Linked DNA regions of Mus musculus. The protein of the gene in region 1 purifies or fractionates together with the protein of each later gene. This does not show direct contact. Links are inferred from orthologs where the notes say so. Each region holds a gene or a part of one and is shown in the gene's direction. Other genes may lie near its edges.

Region 1 (5,336 bases):
GTGTACCACAGAGGAGGGAACCAAGTAAAAGCTCTTCTGGATTAAAGTGCGTACCTAACGAAACCCAAACAGTTTTCCTTTCAAATACATTTTCTTTATTCCTCACTATAAACTGAGAAAAAACTAAGCCTCTCCTCCAGCCAGCAAATATTTCACATGCGTTACTGTGTGTTAGGAACTAGCGAATGGAAGGGTCTTTGTGTAAAGTACGTCATGGGGCTATTTCTGGGTCAGCCCTGCATGCCCCTCAACCAAGTGCCCACATGACATAAGATGGGTTTGGGTCCGGAGCTTTAATCAAGACCTGTGAGGCAGGAACTGTCGAGTCTTTGCAGGTTCTATGATCTGCACAGAGTTCCAGGTCCCTTCTTACCTTCTTAGATTTATTTCAGGACTCTGAGTACCTAAACAAGCCAGTGGTACTCTGGGAAGTGGTGAAACAACCATGTTGATGTGTGTGCTTGTGTTAACCCATTTGTGAATACGCTGTGCGCTTCTCTCAATAACCCTAGGCTCAGGTGGACTGTTTAGAGACTCCTTGTTACCATTATGAATTCCGTGTCACCGGTGAGGAAACTAAGGACTCCAGACATCTAGTGGCCTCCTGTAGGCATGGTTGATGTGTCAGAGCTAGAGTACAGTTTGACTAGTCAGTCTCTCTTACATCTCTGCCTCCGTGGGAAGCTCCAGCCAGCACCATGGGGCAGTACTTATTTCACAAGATAGCTTTTGTTCTGCCCAGTTTCTCTCCTCATATAGCCCTAAGATTAAATTAAAGGCTATCCTGTACTGTACACAGTGTGTGAGATAGGCAGGGGTATGAACAGCTCCAAGGATGGGCTCATTTCTAAGAGAAAGGGAAACGCAGGCCTAGTGGGTTCCTATGCTACAGCCAGTGGAGTAAGGCGAGCTAATGGAGCACTCTCCACCCTTCTCAGGCCTCGAGCTCTGCACGGGCTTGTCTCCACCTCAGTGTTTATCTGTGAGGAGCCTCCTTGAGAGCTGCTATGAAAGTTAGGAAGCAGTCCTGTGATACTGATGCTGTCACATTGTGGTACATGCTGCAAGAATTTACTGGACAACTAAATGGATGTTAATAACTACTTTATTTTTTACAATTGAACATTTTTATTCAATTTACCAAAACATAAATCTGATCTCAGAAATTTTTTTAACTCCTTTTTATAAGGTGAAGTCTTAAGATCTCATGTGAGGCTGGCAGTATGACTCATTAAAGACGAATCCCTCTGAGCTTGAGTCTGAACTCCAGGACCACATAATAGAAAGAGAAAAAGCAGCTCCACAAAGTTGTCTTCTGGTCTACACACACTCATACTCACATACACACACTCATACACACAAACTCACACACACACACGCTAGTAACATGCACATGCATGCACACATGTGCAGGCACATACACAAATATGCACAAATAAATAATTAAACTCATATTTGCACTTCCCAGATCTCAGAGTGCTGGACCCATTACCTGCTCTGTAGGATTCTAACAAGCACGTAGAAAAATGCATACCACATTTACTGGCTTTAATGGAATACACACACACACACACACACACATACACACACACACACACACACAAACTTTGACGTTTCGGTTAAAAGGTTTAGTTAGCTAAGATCCCAGATTAACTTATAAGTGGTCTCTTATTTTTAATCTACCATTTTACTTCATTTGCTGTCAAATTTCTGTTTTGTTTACCAGATGCCGGAGAAAAAAAGACTCCATTTTGAGCTACTTCTATGGTCTCTGAATCAGTCAGGGCCACACAGTGTAGTGACTCTTCTCTCAGTAGTTAGCTAACCCTGTTTGTGACAGGAATGAGCCTGGGCTTGGGGAAGCTCCTGTGTTAGCCAAGTGCCCATACCTAGAGGTGCAGGCCCCGGGGAAGGTCCAGGTTGCACCTCAGAGGCCAGCCTCAACTCTGTAAGTGCTTATGAATCCTCTAGTTCGGGTCCATACACCTCTTTTCCCCCCAGATCTCTCCCTCTCTCCCTCTTCCTTTGTAGAAAGAACTAAATTCCCGGGAGGAAGCCTGGGAACGAATATGCGGCGAGAGAGACCCTTTCATCTTGTGCAGTTTGATGTGGTCTTGGGTTGAGCAACTGAAAGAGCCTGTAATCACCAAAGAGGATGTGGACATGCTGGTCGACAGACAAGCAGATGCTGCCGAAGCCCTGTTTTTACTAGAGAAGGTAAAGTAGCAATTGGACCGGCTAATGAAGATAATTAAGGCCTCACTATAAGCTTCAGACATGTGCAAAAAATCCATTACTAAAAGAATGAATTCTCTATTTATGTCTAACTCAGGGGGTTTTCTTTTCTTTTACACCCCAGTTCTGTGTGTATGGTCTGTGTGCAAGTTTGTATGTTTGTATGCAATGCTGACAGAAGACAGGAGAGGGCATCGATTCCCCTGGAGCTGGAGTTACAGGTCTTTGTGAGCTACCTGCTGTGGGGTTCAAGGAACTGAACTCAGGTCCTTTGCAAGAGCAGCAGCTCATGTTCCTAACCACTGGGCCATCTCTCCACTCCCCTAATTGAGTCGTTTTTCTAAGATAAGAGAATAAACTTGGGCTGGGATGTGGCTCAGTGGTAGAGAACAAGCCTAGTGTGTGCGAGGCCCTGGGTTTGATCTGCAGCACTGTAGACGCGGCAAAACTGATTAACAAAGTAAGCATTCAGAAAACAGAAATGGCAGTGAATGCCTGTAATCCTGCCACTCAGGAGGTAGAGAGAGGATTGTAAGTTTGAGGCCAGCCTGGACTACATCCTAGATTCCAGGACATCTTGTAGTGTGCAGCAAGACTATCTCAAAAAACCAAGCTGGGGAAGTGGCTCCCTGGGAGATCCTTTGTGTAGCATGCTCAAGGGCCCAGGTCTGATGCCCACCCCCTAAAAGGAAGCTGTCTATAACTGAGACGGAGATGACCACACTTTCAGGAATCATTTCTAATGTGTGAATTTTGGAAGAGTCACATTAAATTCTTCCAACCTTTCTTTTTAAATCTCTTCAGTGTAAATTTTTAATATAGCAAATGTCATTAAATTTTAGATTTTATTTTGTCTTGAAAGTATGGTATTTTGCCAGGTGTGATAGTGCATACCTTTAATCTCCTCACAAGAGTCAGAGGCAAGCATATCTCTGAGTTTGAGGACAGCCTGGTCTACATAGTGATTTCCAAGCCAGCATAGTAAGACTCTGTCCCCAAACAAAGCAAAACAAAAAGATGTGATTGTTTTTCCTAAGTGGGTGAGCATCTGTGGTAGAGGCTGTGGTGACTAGAGCGGATCTTAAGTGGGCTGTGTTATAACTCTCCACCTTTTCAAAGTCTTGTTTCTACTTACTGTGAGCCTGTGTCAATAAAAACTAAATGCAAATTGGAATGTGCACTCCTTAGAACTTTTAAAGGGGAATATATCACAGGTACTTGTATGTGTGCAGACATCTATATAGCATATATATGTATGAAGTAGAAAAGAATATCAGGAAGCTATCAACTAGTCCCAGTGTTTGCCATCAGGGAAGGATACTGTGAATATAGGAAGAGAAGGAGATGGCTTTTCATTATAGATCCTATTATACAGTTTAATATTTTTAACCAAATAAGGATACAATCTTTTTAGTTCAAAATAGGCCTTGCTTTTGTTTTGGGGAAACAATGCTGTTAGCCTTGAGTTACCTTCTGTGCTATAGTGTAACCATCTCATTGTTCCCAAGTCCTCACTAAAATCTGTGACTGTGTCTACTCACAAACTTCTGTCACAGTATGTTCACAGACACACTTGCTGGCAATGTTCTCACATACATGTGTGTCATGTATGTGAGCATGCATGTGAAGACCTAAGGTTAATGTCATATGTCTTCCTCCATTTCTCTCTACCCCATGTATCTGGCTAGGCTGGCTAGGCAGCTTGCTATAGGAATTCCCATCTCCACCTCCCTGGCTGTGTTTATAGGCCCCTCATGTCCACAAGACTTTTTGCATGGGTTCTAGAAATCTGAATTCCAGGCTTCAGGCTTGCATAGAAAGCTCTTTACCTGAGCCATCTGTGCAGCCCTATGTATACCTTGTAAGGTAAGATTTTTTTTTCCCAGTGTGTAGAATCCTTTTCTTAGGTTATTTTCCCAGGGGTTAAATGTCAGAGATAAAACAGGAGATGGTAGATAAGGAAGGAAGGAGATTAACCTTGTTGAACAGCTATGAACAATCCCTGTGGGAAGTAATTCCATTCTCACCTCTGGCCATCTTGATAGTCCTTGGAGATGAAGGACCCCTTTTACAGACAAGGCACGGTAGAGTACCTTGCTCAAGGTTTATGGCAGGTACCCAAACAAGATCATACTGGATCGTACTGAAGCTCCTGCACGTGGTCTCATCAAGCCGTCTGTAATGATAATCTGTGTCCACAGGGGCAGTACCAGACCATCCTCTGTGTGCTGCACTGCATAGTGAGCCTGCAGACGCTTCCCATGGAGGTGGAGGAAGCTTGCCTTTTACATGCCATTAAAGCTTTCACCAAGGTGAGTCCCTGTGTCCTCCACACCAGTCACAGCACCTCTGTAAGTCAGGGATCCAGAGAGCAACTTCTCTTCTCAAGTAAAACGTTCAGCTCTTTCCTGAAATGCAACTGTGTTTTATAAGTAGTTACAGGATTTCCTAACCATGGTATCAGGATAAAGCTGACCTGTGAGGTTGTTGAAGAATAATGTGGGAGCAAAGAGACAAACGGCTGGGTATTCCACAAGTCTTTTTAAATCCTATTCTCATAAGAGTCCGAGGTATTTGCATGACCAGCCAGTTCCACCTTGGGTTTAAACAAGAATCATCTAAGCAGAGTTAACTGTCCAAACTTTTCAAGTTGGTATCCACAAAATATGAAATAAATGCTTCTAGGAGAAATGCAGTTGTTTATTTCTGACGTGTGAGCCTTGTGGACGCCATCAGCAAGACACTGGCCAACAAGTAGAGCAGCATCCTGCATCCCTTGTGTTGCTGATGAAGTGAGCAGCCTTTCCCGTGTGATTGCTTGTCCAGGAAGGAGCAGTTTGTGGAGGGAGATGCTGCACCAGGATCCGGATTCCCTCTCAGTAGGGCATCCCTTCCTCTGGGACAGTACACGGTTCTCTTGCAGCACCCATGGTCAGTCTCAGCTTCACGTCCCTGCTGACAGCCCTGGTGGCTCCTGCCTGGGTTGTATTAAACTCCAGGGGTGACATTAAATGAGTTTTCAGTCAAAGGTTTGGTACAGACGTGGGTGACACCTCTAACTTAGTCTTTCAGCTAAATGTATGAAACTTAGCATATGTGTT
Region 2 (5,979 bases), on another chromosome or scaffold:
ACTGTCTCCTAAGCACTGAGACTGTGAGCATGCACCTGGGTGTACTTTTTTGGGGAGTTGGGGGACAGGGTCTTACTCCAAGGTCTGTAGCCTTGGGTGACCTGGAGCTCACTATGTAGAGCAGGCGGGTTTCAAGTTCACAAAGCCCCCACCTGCCTCTCTGTCTTCCTCGTGCTGGGGTTAAAGGCATGAACCCTTAAACATGGCTGGATCCATTTTTAAAGACAAAAAAAAAAAAAAATCCCGAGAACTCAGTCAAATTATTAAATGTTACTTAAATTTTCAAATATAAACCAACATTATGTTCTCTTAAAACTAGTCTTTATACAGCTACAAAACCAGATTTACAAGTTAAATATACATGAAGCCACAAGGCCAATATTATTAAAATCAATAATGTTGATATTTTTGTAATTTAGTATGACAAATGTGTCTGACACTAAAGCCAAGCCACGCTTTGGGAGTCTGGGCTTGCTGGCCCAAGCTCAGCTTCTCTAGGCTTTGCTCTGCTCATGCCTCCAGTTTCTCCCCCTTTTTTTTTTTTTTTTTTTTTTTACCTTGTTTAGAGCCATTGAGACTGTAATTGCATGGTACCCTCTGTCTTCCATTTTGTGCATAAAAACATATTTTTCATTTAGCTTCCACCTCTGTTCATTTCTTAGGAGCCCAGAACAATGAAAGCTGTGCTGAAACTCACGCAAATACGGGTGCTGAAATCCTGTGCAGGGCTGATTCAGGTAGTCCCTGGGGGCCAGCTAGATGGCTCAGTGGATAAAGGCATGTGTCACCAAACCTGACAACCAGAGTTCAGTTACTGGAACCCACTTGGTAGAAGTAGATAACCCACTCCGCAAGCTGTCCTCTGACTACACTTGTTCAGTGGCTCATGTGTGTACATACCACACATATACACAGTTTTTGTAATTAAAAAAGATAGCCACCCCAGCAGTCCAGACCATGCCTTAAGTAAGTGAATCTAAAAATTATCAAAATAAAACGAGAGTCTTCAAGCATTCATTCGTGGACAGAAGTTGAAAAAACAAAAACCGCAAACTGAAGTCTGTTGGTTCTCAAGCTTTGACTATGAAAGGCTATCTCCTAGTAGGCATCCCATGCTTTAAAAAGAAAAAAAAAAAAACTTACCTCCTAAGTTGCATTTATTAATGACAATTTCCTTAAGGCACAAAATAGTGTCATCTGAGAACTTGTGACAGAGCTACCAATCTAAGTTGCTTATATCTAAGTCGAAAGGAGAGATAGTTACTTTGTGCCATTCCATAGGGCAAGTGGAACATTTTCCATTAAGTTCTGTGTAAAAAGGCCCAGGCCCACCTCCTCCTGGAGTCCTTTAGGGGGACTCCTGGAGGTCTAGGGAGGCCAGTTTACACCCGCACCGAACTGGGGTGAGTAAAACTGGGCCCAGTTATGTTAGGTTGTTGTGCTTCTTGGTAAAGAAGGAAAAAAAAAGAGAAGACAATACAACAGAAGGCGCCATTCCAGTACCACACTGAAAAGAAACACAAAAACAAGAGAGCAGCATGTTTTGAACAGCTTGCGTGGAAAAAATATTGACTGGGGAGTTTGGACAGCACTGTTCATTTTCTCTCACCGCCCTCATTATTTGTCTTAAGGAGCAGGAGCCAGCCACGATTTTGGCAAACAGGCCAGAGGAAGGTGTGTGTGTGTGTGTGTGTGTGTGTGTGTGTGTGTGTGTGCGCGCGCGCGCGCGTGTAGAGGCTTGTCGCCCAAGGGGAAATTAAGACCAAGACCCAGTGGCTCAGGGCCAGCATGAAGCCTGGGGGTGGGGGTGGAGGTTGGGGTGGAGGGGGAGGTGTTAAAGCTTCTTCCTCCTGGCCTGTCTCTGAGTTCTACTTGAGGCTCGGCATCCATCATTAAGGCCCGTCTCCTTCAGAGCACAGCAAGGAGACGATGAATCCCTGCCCTTGTTTCTTTCGGCTGGGGAAAGGATGCAGGGGTTCCATTGGTTTTTTCGGCCCGCCCTTCTTCTGGAGTTCAGACCTCCAGTTCCAGCAATGGGGGTCAGGCCGGAGCCTCCACGCGCAGGGAAAAAACTTGATTCCATCAGTTCCTCGGAGCCGGCTGATTGGATTTAGCCCCGCCTGTTTGTGTGTGGGGCGTGGCCTGAGCGCGGGGCGTGGCCTGAGCGCGGGGCGTGGTCTGGGCACGGGGCCTTCGGCGGCGACCAGCCAGAGGAGGAAGAACATGGCGGGCGCAGCAGGGCCAGGGTCCGGTCCGGGGGCAGCGGGTGGAGATGGAGACGATTCGCTCTACCCGATCGCGGTTTTAATCGACGAGCTCCGCAATGAGGACGTGCAGGTACTAGGCTGGGCTGGGGAGCCGAGGCGAGGGCGGAAGCGCACATGGTAGGGAAGCGGAAAGGCCGGCTCAGCCCTGGGGGCGACCCCCGGGGTGGCAGAGTCGTATTCAGCCCCGGGACGGAGGCGTGGGGCGGCGGGTGCGCGGTGGTCCGTCTCAGCTCCGCTGCCCTCCTCCGACCCTCTGGGGTGGTGGCGTCCATCTGCTCCCGGCAGTGGGCGGGGAACCGGTTCGCACCTCGGGTGGACCAGCGCAGGCGGGCTGCGGGGCCGCCGGGAGCGGAGGAGCGGCCCCCGGCCCCCGTTCCCTTTGAAGTGATGCGGAGTGTCCGTCCCCGGGCAAACTAGCTGGGCTGGTTGGGTGGAAAGAGCGCGGCGGCTGATTAACCCAGATGAGTGGTGCATCAGTTGTGATAGAACTTTTCCCTGAAAAGGGAGGAGTTGTGCTTAACCGTTTCTTTCACCCACTTCTCTCCATCCAGAGTTCTCTCTTTTCAGACCCTCTCATTGTCCGCGTGTTTTCATTCATTCGTTTCTTCCCCGGCCCTTCAGTGTTCTCCCTAAGATAGCTTCTGGCTAATGACGTGTTAAACGGTCCTTGAGTTTTCCTAGGATTAAGATCTAAGTGAAAGGCTCATTCATCATTATACTGTGTCCCAGTATCTCACCTATTTGCTTCTTTGACCAGAATTGCAATCATCTCTTTGCTTTGTTCTCCCTCCCACTTTGTTTTTAAAGCTCCGTCTCAACAGTATTAAGAAGTTATCAACTATAGCTCTAGCACTCGGGGTAGAAAGGACTCGAACGGAACTGCTGCCTTTCCTTACAGGTTTGTGTCCCTTGAAAGATACACGCTCCATTTCTATTGGCTTTTAAACTATTTTTATTTAATTTTCTTAGTTTGTTACCTAGAGTAGCGATAAGTACTAGACTGAGCCTTGCCTTCTGCAAGGTGTATAGAAATGCTACATATAGTCAGACATACTCAAACATAAACCGTGTAGCTAGTGGGAAGGTGATTGATGTGAAATATGGATTTCTTTGTAAATGATTTATTTTATATGCATTGGTGTTTTGCCTGCATGTGAAAGTGACAGATCCCCTGGAACTGGAGTTATAGGCAGTTGTTAAGTTGCCATGTGGGTGCTGGGCATTGAACGCTGCTTCTCTGGAAGAGCAGCCAGTGCCCTTAACCACTGAGCCATCTCTCCAGCTCCAGGATGTGAGTTTCTTAATAATTGTGTGAAACATTCAGGAAGACTTGTGGTAGTCATCTATAAGATGGAACACAGCTCCAATATAGCTCCAATATAGGAGCTAGAGAAAGCACCCAAGGAGCTGAAGGGGTCTGCAGCCCTATAGGTGGAACAACAATATGAACTAACCAGTACCCCCGGAGCTCGTGTCTCTAGCTGCATATGTAGCAGAAGATGGCCTAGTCGGCCATCACTGGGAAGAGAGGCCCCTTGATCTTGCAAACTTTATATGCCCCAGTACAGGGGAACGCCAGGGCCAAGAAGTGGGAGTGGGTGGGTAGGGGAGCAGGGCGGGGGTGGGGGGTATAGGGAACTTTCGGGATAGCATTTGAAATTTGAAATGTATATAAAGAAAATATCTAATAAAAAAACTGACAAAAAAAGACTTGTGATTTAGAGAGGGATGAAAATGCTTTTAGGATTCTAGTTGCAACCGCTCTGTGAGAGCCAGCGCAGTGGCCCTTGCCCCTGTGGTAACCAGCTGTTGTTGTTTTCAGATACTATTTATGATGAAGATGAGGTGCTGTTAGCTCTCGCCGAGCAGCTGGGAAATTTCACTGGTTTGGTGGGCGGTCCTGACTTTGCCCACTGTCTGCTGGTGAGTACTTTTCTATCGTCTATGCTCCTTCTAGAACTTTGTAGGATCAACAGTGCCTTTATTAACTGGTGATAGGCACATTGCAGCATTTTATGCAGACTTCTTATGGGCAGATGACAATAATAATACTAACAAGACTTAGATCTTACCAGCCGAATGTAAGCTTGTTTCTGCCTCTATAGACTTATTATTTCAGAGATGCGGAGGGAAAGAACTTGATTTGGTTCCCCTTTTTCTTTTGTTTGTAATTTTTTTTATTAGATATTTTCTTTATATACATTTCTAATGCTATCCCGAAAGTTCCCTATAACCACCCTGCTCCCCTGCTCCCTTCCTCCCCACTCCTGCTTCTTGGCCCTGGCATTGTTTGTATTTTTTGAGGCAAGGTCTTGTTTTGTAGCCTTGGTTCTATATAGAACAGGCTAGCTTTGAACTCATAGAGATCCTCCTGCCTCTGCCTCCAGAGTGCTGAGATTAAAGGTATGCATCACTATGCAGATGAACTAGACCTTAAAGGATGACTAGAAGCTGACCAGCTGACAAGGCAGGGCTGTCTGTTTAGGGGTTTAAGCACTGTGTATTCAATGCTGGCTCCCATGGTTCCTAGCTCTACCTTGATGGTTCTGTAGAACTCCAGACATAGATGGAGAAGAGGTAAGTGGACACTTGTAGAAATCACAACAGATTTAGATACGGGTTGTCATTTTTCCCTCAAAACGTGCCTCTTTTTGAGTCATATCACTAGCTACCTAGCTATACAAGGCCAGCCTAGAAGATAGCTTTGATGTCAAATTACGTCAGAGAAGTTGAAGCCTGGGCCTTTGCATGCTAGGTGAGTGTTCCTTCACCGAGCTACAGCCCAGCAGAGGAAGGCCTCCTTAAATCCTCTCCCCCTTCACGCCTAAGCTATTAGTCTTGTCGACTGCATCCATCCCAGTTCAGTCTTCATTTGTGCATTCATGGGCACTTGTGCCTGGCTAGTAGCATTGTTGTGGGGCTTCTGTCCTTGGACTCGTTTGCTTCCTTGCAGTGAGTCAGAAAAACTCTTCTGCCACACTTTATTACTGCCATGTTGTTGTGCTGAGGCTCATGTTGTTTCTTCTGGTAGCTATTTGGATTCACAGCAGTGAAAAACTCATTATATATACGCATGTTCCTCTTGGTAACTTCATTCCATGCACATTGGTCTTTCCTTATAAGCCCAGGTCATTGTTGCCCAGACGTTGGCTGTAGATGTTATCTTCAGAGAGATGCTATTTAGAGTTTTCTATAGTGGAGTCCGTGTAAGTCGGACAACTCCATTTTGTATCTTGAGAGGCCTTGCCTGTCACAACCACCCCTTGCCCGTCACCCTGTTGTAATTTGACATCTCCCCCATTAGAATGTAGGCTCCCTTAGAGCATCCTGTGTGTTCATTCCTTCTGGATCCTTGGCGTTACTGCACAGCAGTATTCATCGATGGCTTGCAGCTGTGAAGCTTGTTGGGTTCAGAGCTGCGTGAGTGAAAAGCTAGGGCTGGTGACGCACTCACCAGGGCTCAGAGAAGGGCACTGGGAATAGGCAGAATTCAAATGAAGGGACAACTCATAAGGCATTTGCCGGAGTTTGGCCATCTCCGTGGTAGTGCTAGAATATGTTGCAGTAGGCAGGGGACAGATCATGAAAGACTGCCTAGTAAGAAGCCATGTCTTTTCAGTGGACCTTTGACCCACCCTCTAGGAAAGCTACAAAGCTCTCTATTTTTTTGAATGGTATTGAGCGGCACATTTCTTCTCTTGGAGTCCTGATC
Region 3 (5,873 bases), on another chromosome or scaffold:
TTAATGTGGTTTAAGAAAACAGAAAAGTGCATTATACTTTATGAGACTATTTGTATAAACTGACAACATGACTGCTTCATAGTTTGGTTAAGGGGAGGGTTTTGTTGTAGATATGAGAGAGTGGCCAGAGGCATCTGGAAGAGTCCAGAGCACAGACTGAACATGCCGGAGAGGGAAGAATAATAGCAGAGGATAAAATATAGAGGAAACAGCCAGAATAGCAGGGTCATAAGGAGGAGTAGCTTGGGAGAGAAACACCCGAGGGCTGGAGTTTACAGTAGAGGAGAGGTAAGAAGGGCAGGACACTAGCGTGGACTGAAATGTGCCACAGGATCTTGGGATACCAGCATGTGCTTTGATATACAGTTAGGCAACGTAGGTAGCTATATCTCCTTTTTGCCAGAAGTGAGGGAAATGACATTTTTGGTAGAGGGCCCCTGGCTTCACAAGTTCCTGAAGAATGCTGTTTTTTTTTTTTTTTTTTTTTTTTTTTAATCTAACTTCCAGAAATCCTCCTATAGTCCAGGCTGAGCTCATTTCTGGATATTTGAACTGCCTTTTGCAGTTTGGGAAGTTTCCTTTGGACCTGACACATTTTGTTGTTGTTCTCTTTCCTCCTCCTCTTCCTCCTGTCTTTCTTTCTTTCTTTCTTTCTTTCTTTCTTTTTTTAACTGTTTTAAGATGAGTACATTGTTGTTGTCTTCAGGCACACCAGAAGAGGGAATCAGATCCCATTACTGATGGTTGTGAGCCACCATGTGGCTGCTGGGAATTGAACTCAGGACCTTTGGGAAAGCAGTCAGTGCTCTTAACCACTAGGCCATCTACCCAGCCCTCCTTCTGTCTTTCAAGACAGAGTTTCTTTGTGTGGACTTGGCTGTCCTGGAACTAGCTCTGTAGACCAGGCTGACCTCCAGAAATCTGCTTGCCTCTGCCTCCTTCCCCTCCCTCTCTCTAGGAGGAGAGCTTGGCACTACTAAGAAAGGGCATTTGACCTAGTTAAAGGTGAATAGGAAAGGGGGGGGGGAATGTCAGAGAGTCTGACTGGAAGAGGCTACATTTAAATGGATTTATTTTAATTTTTTGCATGTGTTTGATGTATGTATGTTAGGCAGAGTCTTCTATAGATAGCCCAGGCTAGCCTCAAACTCAGCTGTCCTTGAACTCTAGAACCTCTTAAATGAATACAAGCGCTGTTGAGATTATAGGAATGTGTCACCACGGCCAGAAGAACATATCTTCCTCTTCCTCCTCCTCCTCTTTTTCCTCCTCCTCCTCCTCCTCCTTCTCCTCCTTCTTCTTCTTCTTCTTTTGGTTTTTCAAGACAGGGTTTCTCTGTGTAGCCCCGGCTACCCTGGAACTCACTCTGTAGACCAGGCTGGCCTTGAACTCAGAAATCCGCCTGCCTCTGCCTCTCAAGTGCTGGGATTAAAGGTGTATGCCACCACTGCCCAGCAGAACATACCTTCTTAATCATTGATTTTACCACTTTTATCTGAAAAGACCTTGGCTACTTTTTGCGGCATTCACAACATCCAATTTCTGTGGCGAGCTATTCTTAACTGCTCGCAGTAGCCAAGGGCTCTAGTCCATGGGAAGGTAACCTAATTCACCCAGATGGAACCAGTCCAGTTGTGTCCTTCTGGGCTCAGTGAACTCTCACCTTGGGCAGGCAGTGGCAAGTATGCATCACTCTCCCTTAATTTTGGTGCCTCCGGGGCTCACCCACAGGGTCACTGGAGCAACAAAAGGGGTATTCTCTCGAGAGGGCCAGCTCACCATGTGGTTGAGCATAAGTGAACATATGAGGCCATCCCAAAGTTCCGGCCTTGGCTCTACGGCTTGGGACAGTGAGAGGTGCAGACAGGCCAGGCCTTGGCCACTTGGGCACCGCGGCTTGGCACATCCAGCCCACAGCCACAGCAAACTAAGTGCAGCTCTAGCTCTGTACAGGGACCTTCTCAAGGATCCTAGCGGGCGGGGCGGGGCGAAAGCAAGACAAGAAGGAGGCGTGGCTAACACAGCACGACCCGCCCCAAAGACGCTCCGCCCCCTCAAGTGACGTCACCGGCCAGCCAGCGGGCGCCATTTTGAAAGTGGAGTCGCCTGTCCCTGCCGCCGCGGCCGCCGTCGCTGTCCTAGCCGCCGCTGCCGCCGCCACTACTACCGCCGCCGCCGCCGCTACTGCCGCCGCTGCCGTCTCCACCGCGAGAGAAGGAGCACGAGACGGGACGCCCCTGAGTGAACGCCACCATCCTGCCGACCGCTCCACCCGGGCCGCTTCCTTTCCGCCCCGGTCCCGGTCCCCTCCCCCCTCAGGTGCCATCCGCCTCCATCCGCGCCCTCGATCCCCCCATCCCCAGGTGTGGGGGCTGAGCCCCGGTCGCGGAGACCCCGACGAGCCCGGCAGGGTCACCATTTGCAGCGCGACATGGCAGGTAAAGAAGAAACGGCCCTTGGGCGGCTGACAGGGTGCCGTGCCGCTTCCTCTGCGCGCTCTCCGTCACCCCCTAGCGACCGTGGTGGCGGGGCCTCGGCCTGGGGCGCTGGCCGAGTGTGGGGCGGGCGGGCGGGCCTGGCACTGAGCTGGGACTGTGGGGCCTGGAGGCCGGGCCCGGGGCCTGGCACTACAGGAACACGGCACGGGTGCGTTGGGGGTGGGAGACGGCGTGGGTGGGGCGGGTGCAGGCGTGCAGATGGGTCCCCTCTGCACCCTGCTCCCTCCGCTCTTCCTTACATATTCATTCCTCTTCCCGGTCTACTGAGAACCTTTCTGTAGAAATGTATTCTGGACCGATAAGAAGGAAGACAGCTTTGCAAGTTAAAATACAATGGAGGCATACCCCCACCCCCCCAACTCACGGTCACCCCCCCCCCAACCCCCAGCACCACACAAACATTAATGGGGTAGGTCAGGTTTTGAGGGTGTAAGCCTGAATTTCGTTTTCGATTTTGCTCCCTTCCCGTGTCTTATTTTTTTGCCACTCACGAATGCTAAGCCTTTAATAGAAGTTGCAAGGATTGGGGTGGGGGCTGGGTGGGAGAGAAAGGTAATTTAAACTTTGCATTTTGCACGGTAGCGTTTGGGCAGATGTCCTTTTCCCAGAAGGGTTTCTTGGAGTTAAAATAGTTGTGGAGTTCGCCGATATAAATAGCCAAAGGGAGAGGGATTTTATAAAACCTTGCTGAGGGGGGACGGGGGGGGTGCGGGGGGAGAAAGCCTGATTGAGAATAATTTAGCAAGGAATGGGTAAAGGAAAAGCGAGGTTTAATGTCGTTTGAGAGTCGGTTATCTTTGTACAATTTAGTCTTGAAGCCCTTCCTCTCATAGAGTAATTCTGGATTGAGATTGAGTTTCTTTTCCAGAAATCCCGGGGTGCCCCCATCCCCCCATTTCCTCTTCAGTGCTGAGCAGTGAGTGTCGGAGATTAAACCAATTTTCCTTTCTTTTCAATATTTGCATAGATAATAGAACCTTTAAAGAAGTTATGCTGGACTGGTTTACAGTTTGCTATATAAACAGGCTGCCCTTTGACCTTGCTGAACAATGAAATGATAATTGGAACTGTATTGTAGGAGATGAGCAACGAATAAGGTTGCTTTTTTCTGGGTCCTTTGGATGCAGTAGGTGAATGTGGCAGGAGCAGCCTCCTTTGACCATCTCTTCCCAGGCGTGCATTTCCGCCCCTTTTCCTCTGTCTGCAACCAGTGATTTGCTCCTAACGAATGCAAAGAAATGGGTGTTGTGTTTGCTTAGTCCACATGAATCATCCTCTCAGGCAGTAATGTTCCCGAAGTTTTCTCTTCGTTCTATATTTCATGGTAGTTTAGCCTTATAACTCTTTTGTAGGCCTTTTGTACATTTAAAGGAAAACTAACTTTGGTGCTTTGGTTGGTTTTGTTTTTGTTTTTGTTTTTTCCTGGTAGGTTTTAACTTGAAAGGTTCTGACTGTCTTTAAGGAGAGGGAAAAGTGGAAGTGAGGTTTTAAATATCTGTATGATGATAATTACTGGTAGGCTGTATGTCTTTGGATATTTCGTACCTGCAGACTTGTTTTTAATACACTACCAACTATTGGAGGCCAATTTGGTTCCAAATCTGTGGGCTCAGTGGTAGTTACATAGGGAGTTATGATGCCAGCCTCGGGAACCATCTCTGTGTTTATAAGCGTAAACAGAACAGAGCTCAGTTTTAATTGCTATGTTTTCTTCTTCCAGGAGCTGGAGGAGGGAATGATATTCAGTGGTGTTTTTCTCAGGTGAAAGGAGCAGTAGATGATGACGTAGCAGAAGGTAAGACATTTTAACAGTGACGACTATCGACTTAAAAGTCCTGGGTGCTGAAGGAACTCAGTGTTTTGTGTTTGCTTTCTGAGAGGTGGGATGATAGCTTTAAAAAAAATCACCTTTCTGAAAAGTCTGTATATCTTCTTATGTCTTGCTTATCTTTTTTTTTTTCATTGAGTTAATGAAGTAGATGTCCAGCAGTCAGTGCTCTAAGGTTTGTGTGACTAAGGTGTCTTTGTTACATACATTCTACATATAAATGACTGGTCTTCATGTTTATGTGTTATTTTTCGATAAAACAGAGAAACAGAGGCCAGCAGCTCTTAGCTCAGAACCGCTCCCAGCAGCACCTCTTACTCTGTGGGGGGCTCTGGTTCTTTTGAACTCCACTGCTTTGGGATGTGGCACTGGTCGACATGGCTGCTGGTCCACATGATTCACTTTACTGTGCTGCAGGGATTTGTGCGTGTGGTTAAGACAGATAAGATAGAACAAATTACTGTGGGGACTTTTTTTGAGATAGAAACTTGCTAATTTATTTCAGAACGTATCTAAAGTTTTGAAATGTCAAGGTCTTGCGTGCAGTCTGAGGTGATCTTTTGTGATAGAGACAAATAATCTCAAAAGGGATTCTTTGCTCAGAAATATTTAATATAGTTTGTGGACTCTGTGTGTGTATGTGTGTGTATTTGAGAGGGAGAGGATGTGTGTGTGTCTGTCTGTCTGTCTGTGTCTGTCTGCCTGTCTGTCCCTAGCTGGCTTTGAATTTGCTATGTAGACTAGGTTGTTCTTGAATTCGGAGATCCATCCGCCTGCCTCTGCCTCCCCAATAAAGTTAGTGGGATTTTTCTAAATAGAAGTCAAAGAAGAGTATGTATTTCTGGTTGTCTGAAAATGTGTACCCCTTTCTTTAGGTGTGGAACCTTTCCTTGTGGTTCTCCTCTGCTGCCATAGAGTGCTGTGCTGAGGATTTCTTTTCAGGTGGTGGTAGGCCAAAGACTGTTGACTAGGAGATGCTTGTGTGGTGACATTTGTCTCCAGTGTGTGCGTGGTGTGGTGAGTCCTGTAGAAAGTCATTGGCACACTTGTGCTTCCAGCCTCTGTTACCTTTGTTTTCTGGTGGTCCTTATTCCTTTCTCACATGAGAGACTGGAAACTTGGAAAGAATTAAAGGGTTTAGAGTGACTCAGTGATGGTCAATCGGTGCTGCTTTTCTGTGGAAATAAATCCTGTGTTGGAGGGAGGAGTCTCGAATTCCTGATTTTGTAACTCCATTACCTGTTGAGTAGTAGGCACTCAGGTATTGGATCCTCGGTTCTGTGCGGTTGTGTAATACTTGGCATGTTATGAAAGTGCTCTCTACTTGGAAAACATTTCTTGGTTGCACTGTTTATTCCCTTATCAAACAAAGGTCTCCTGAATGTTGAGAACGGGTGTGTGGTGTCTAGAACATAAGCTGTCTACCCTTAAGAAACTCTGTTTACTTCTTGTTAATCATGGGGAGAAAGAAGACTTCACTCAATCAGAAGAAATAGATTTTCTAAACTGAATATCAATTACTTAACCAAAACAAGTGATAGTTTGTG

The links.
Region 2: the proteins of Ptpdc1 (region 1) and Ppp2r1b purify together in Homo sapiens (affinity purification with mass spectrometry; 3 studies listed by BioGRID and IntAct, counting the BioPlex papers as one, with this or other methods). This does not show direct contact. The link is inferred for Mus musculus from reciprocal best matches to the Homo sapiens genes PTPDC1 and PPP2R1B.
Region 3: the proteins of Ptpdc1 (region 1) and Ppp2r2a purify together in Homo sapiens (affinity purification with mass spectrometry; 4 studies listed by BioGRID and IntAct, counting the BioPlex papers as one, with this or other methods). This does not show direct contact. The link is inferred for Mus musculus from reciprocal best matches to the Homo sapiens genes PTPDC1 and PPP2R2A.

Annotation. Positions count from the first base shown.
Region 1 is NC_000079.6:48,579,966-48,585,301, reverse strand, and holds part of Ptpdc1 (protein tyrosine phosphatase domain-containing protein 1), read left to right. Parts: intron 1-2,031; coding exon 2,032-2,217; intron 2,218-4,436; coding exon 4,437-4,547; intron 4,548-5,336. UniProt on the Homo sapiens protein: May play roles in cilia formation and/or maintenance.
Region 2 is NC_000075.6:50,854,762-50,860,740, forward strand, and holds the start of Ppp2r1b (serine/threonine-protein phosphatase 2A 65 kDa regulatory subunit A beta isoform), read left to right. Parts: upstream 1-2,162; 5' UTR 2,163-2,223; coding exon 2,224-2,337; intron 2,338-3,074; coding exon 3,075-3,165; intron 3,166-4,089; coding exon 4,090-4,190; intron 4,191-5,979. UniProt on the Homo sapiens protein: The PR65 subunit of protein phosphatase 2A serves as a scaffolding molecule to coordinate the assembly of the catalytic subunit and a variable regulatory B subunit.
Region 3 is NC_000080.6:67,068,655-67,074,527, reverse strand, and holds the start of Ppp2r2a (serine/threonine-protein phosphatase 2A 55 kDa regulatory subunit B alpha isoform), read left to right. Parts: upstream 1-2,056; 5' UTR 2,057-2,431; coding exon 2,432-2,438; intron 2,439-4,218; coding exon 4,219-4,293; intron 4,294-5,873. UniProt on the Homo sapiens protein: Substrate-recognition subunit of protein phosphatase 2A (PP2A) that plays a key role in cell cycle by controlling mitosis entry and exit. Involved in chromosome clustering during late mitosis by mediating dephosphorylation of MKI67.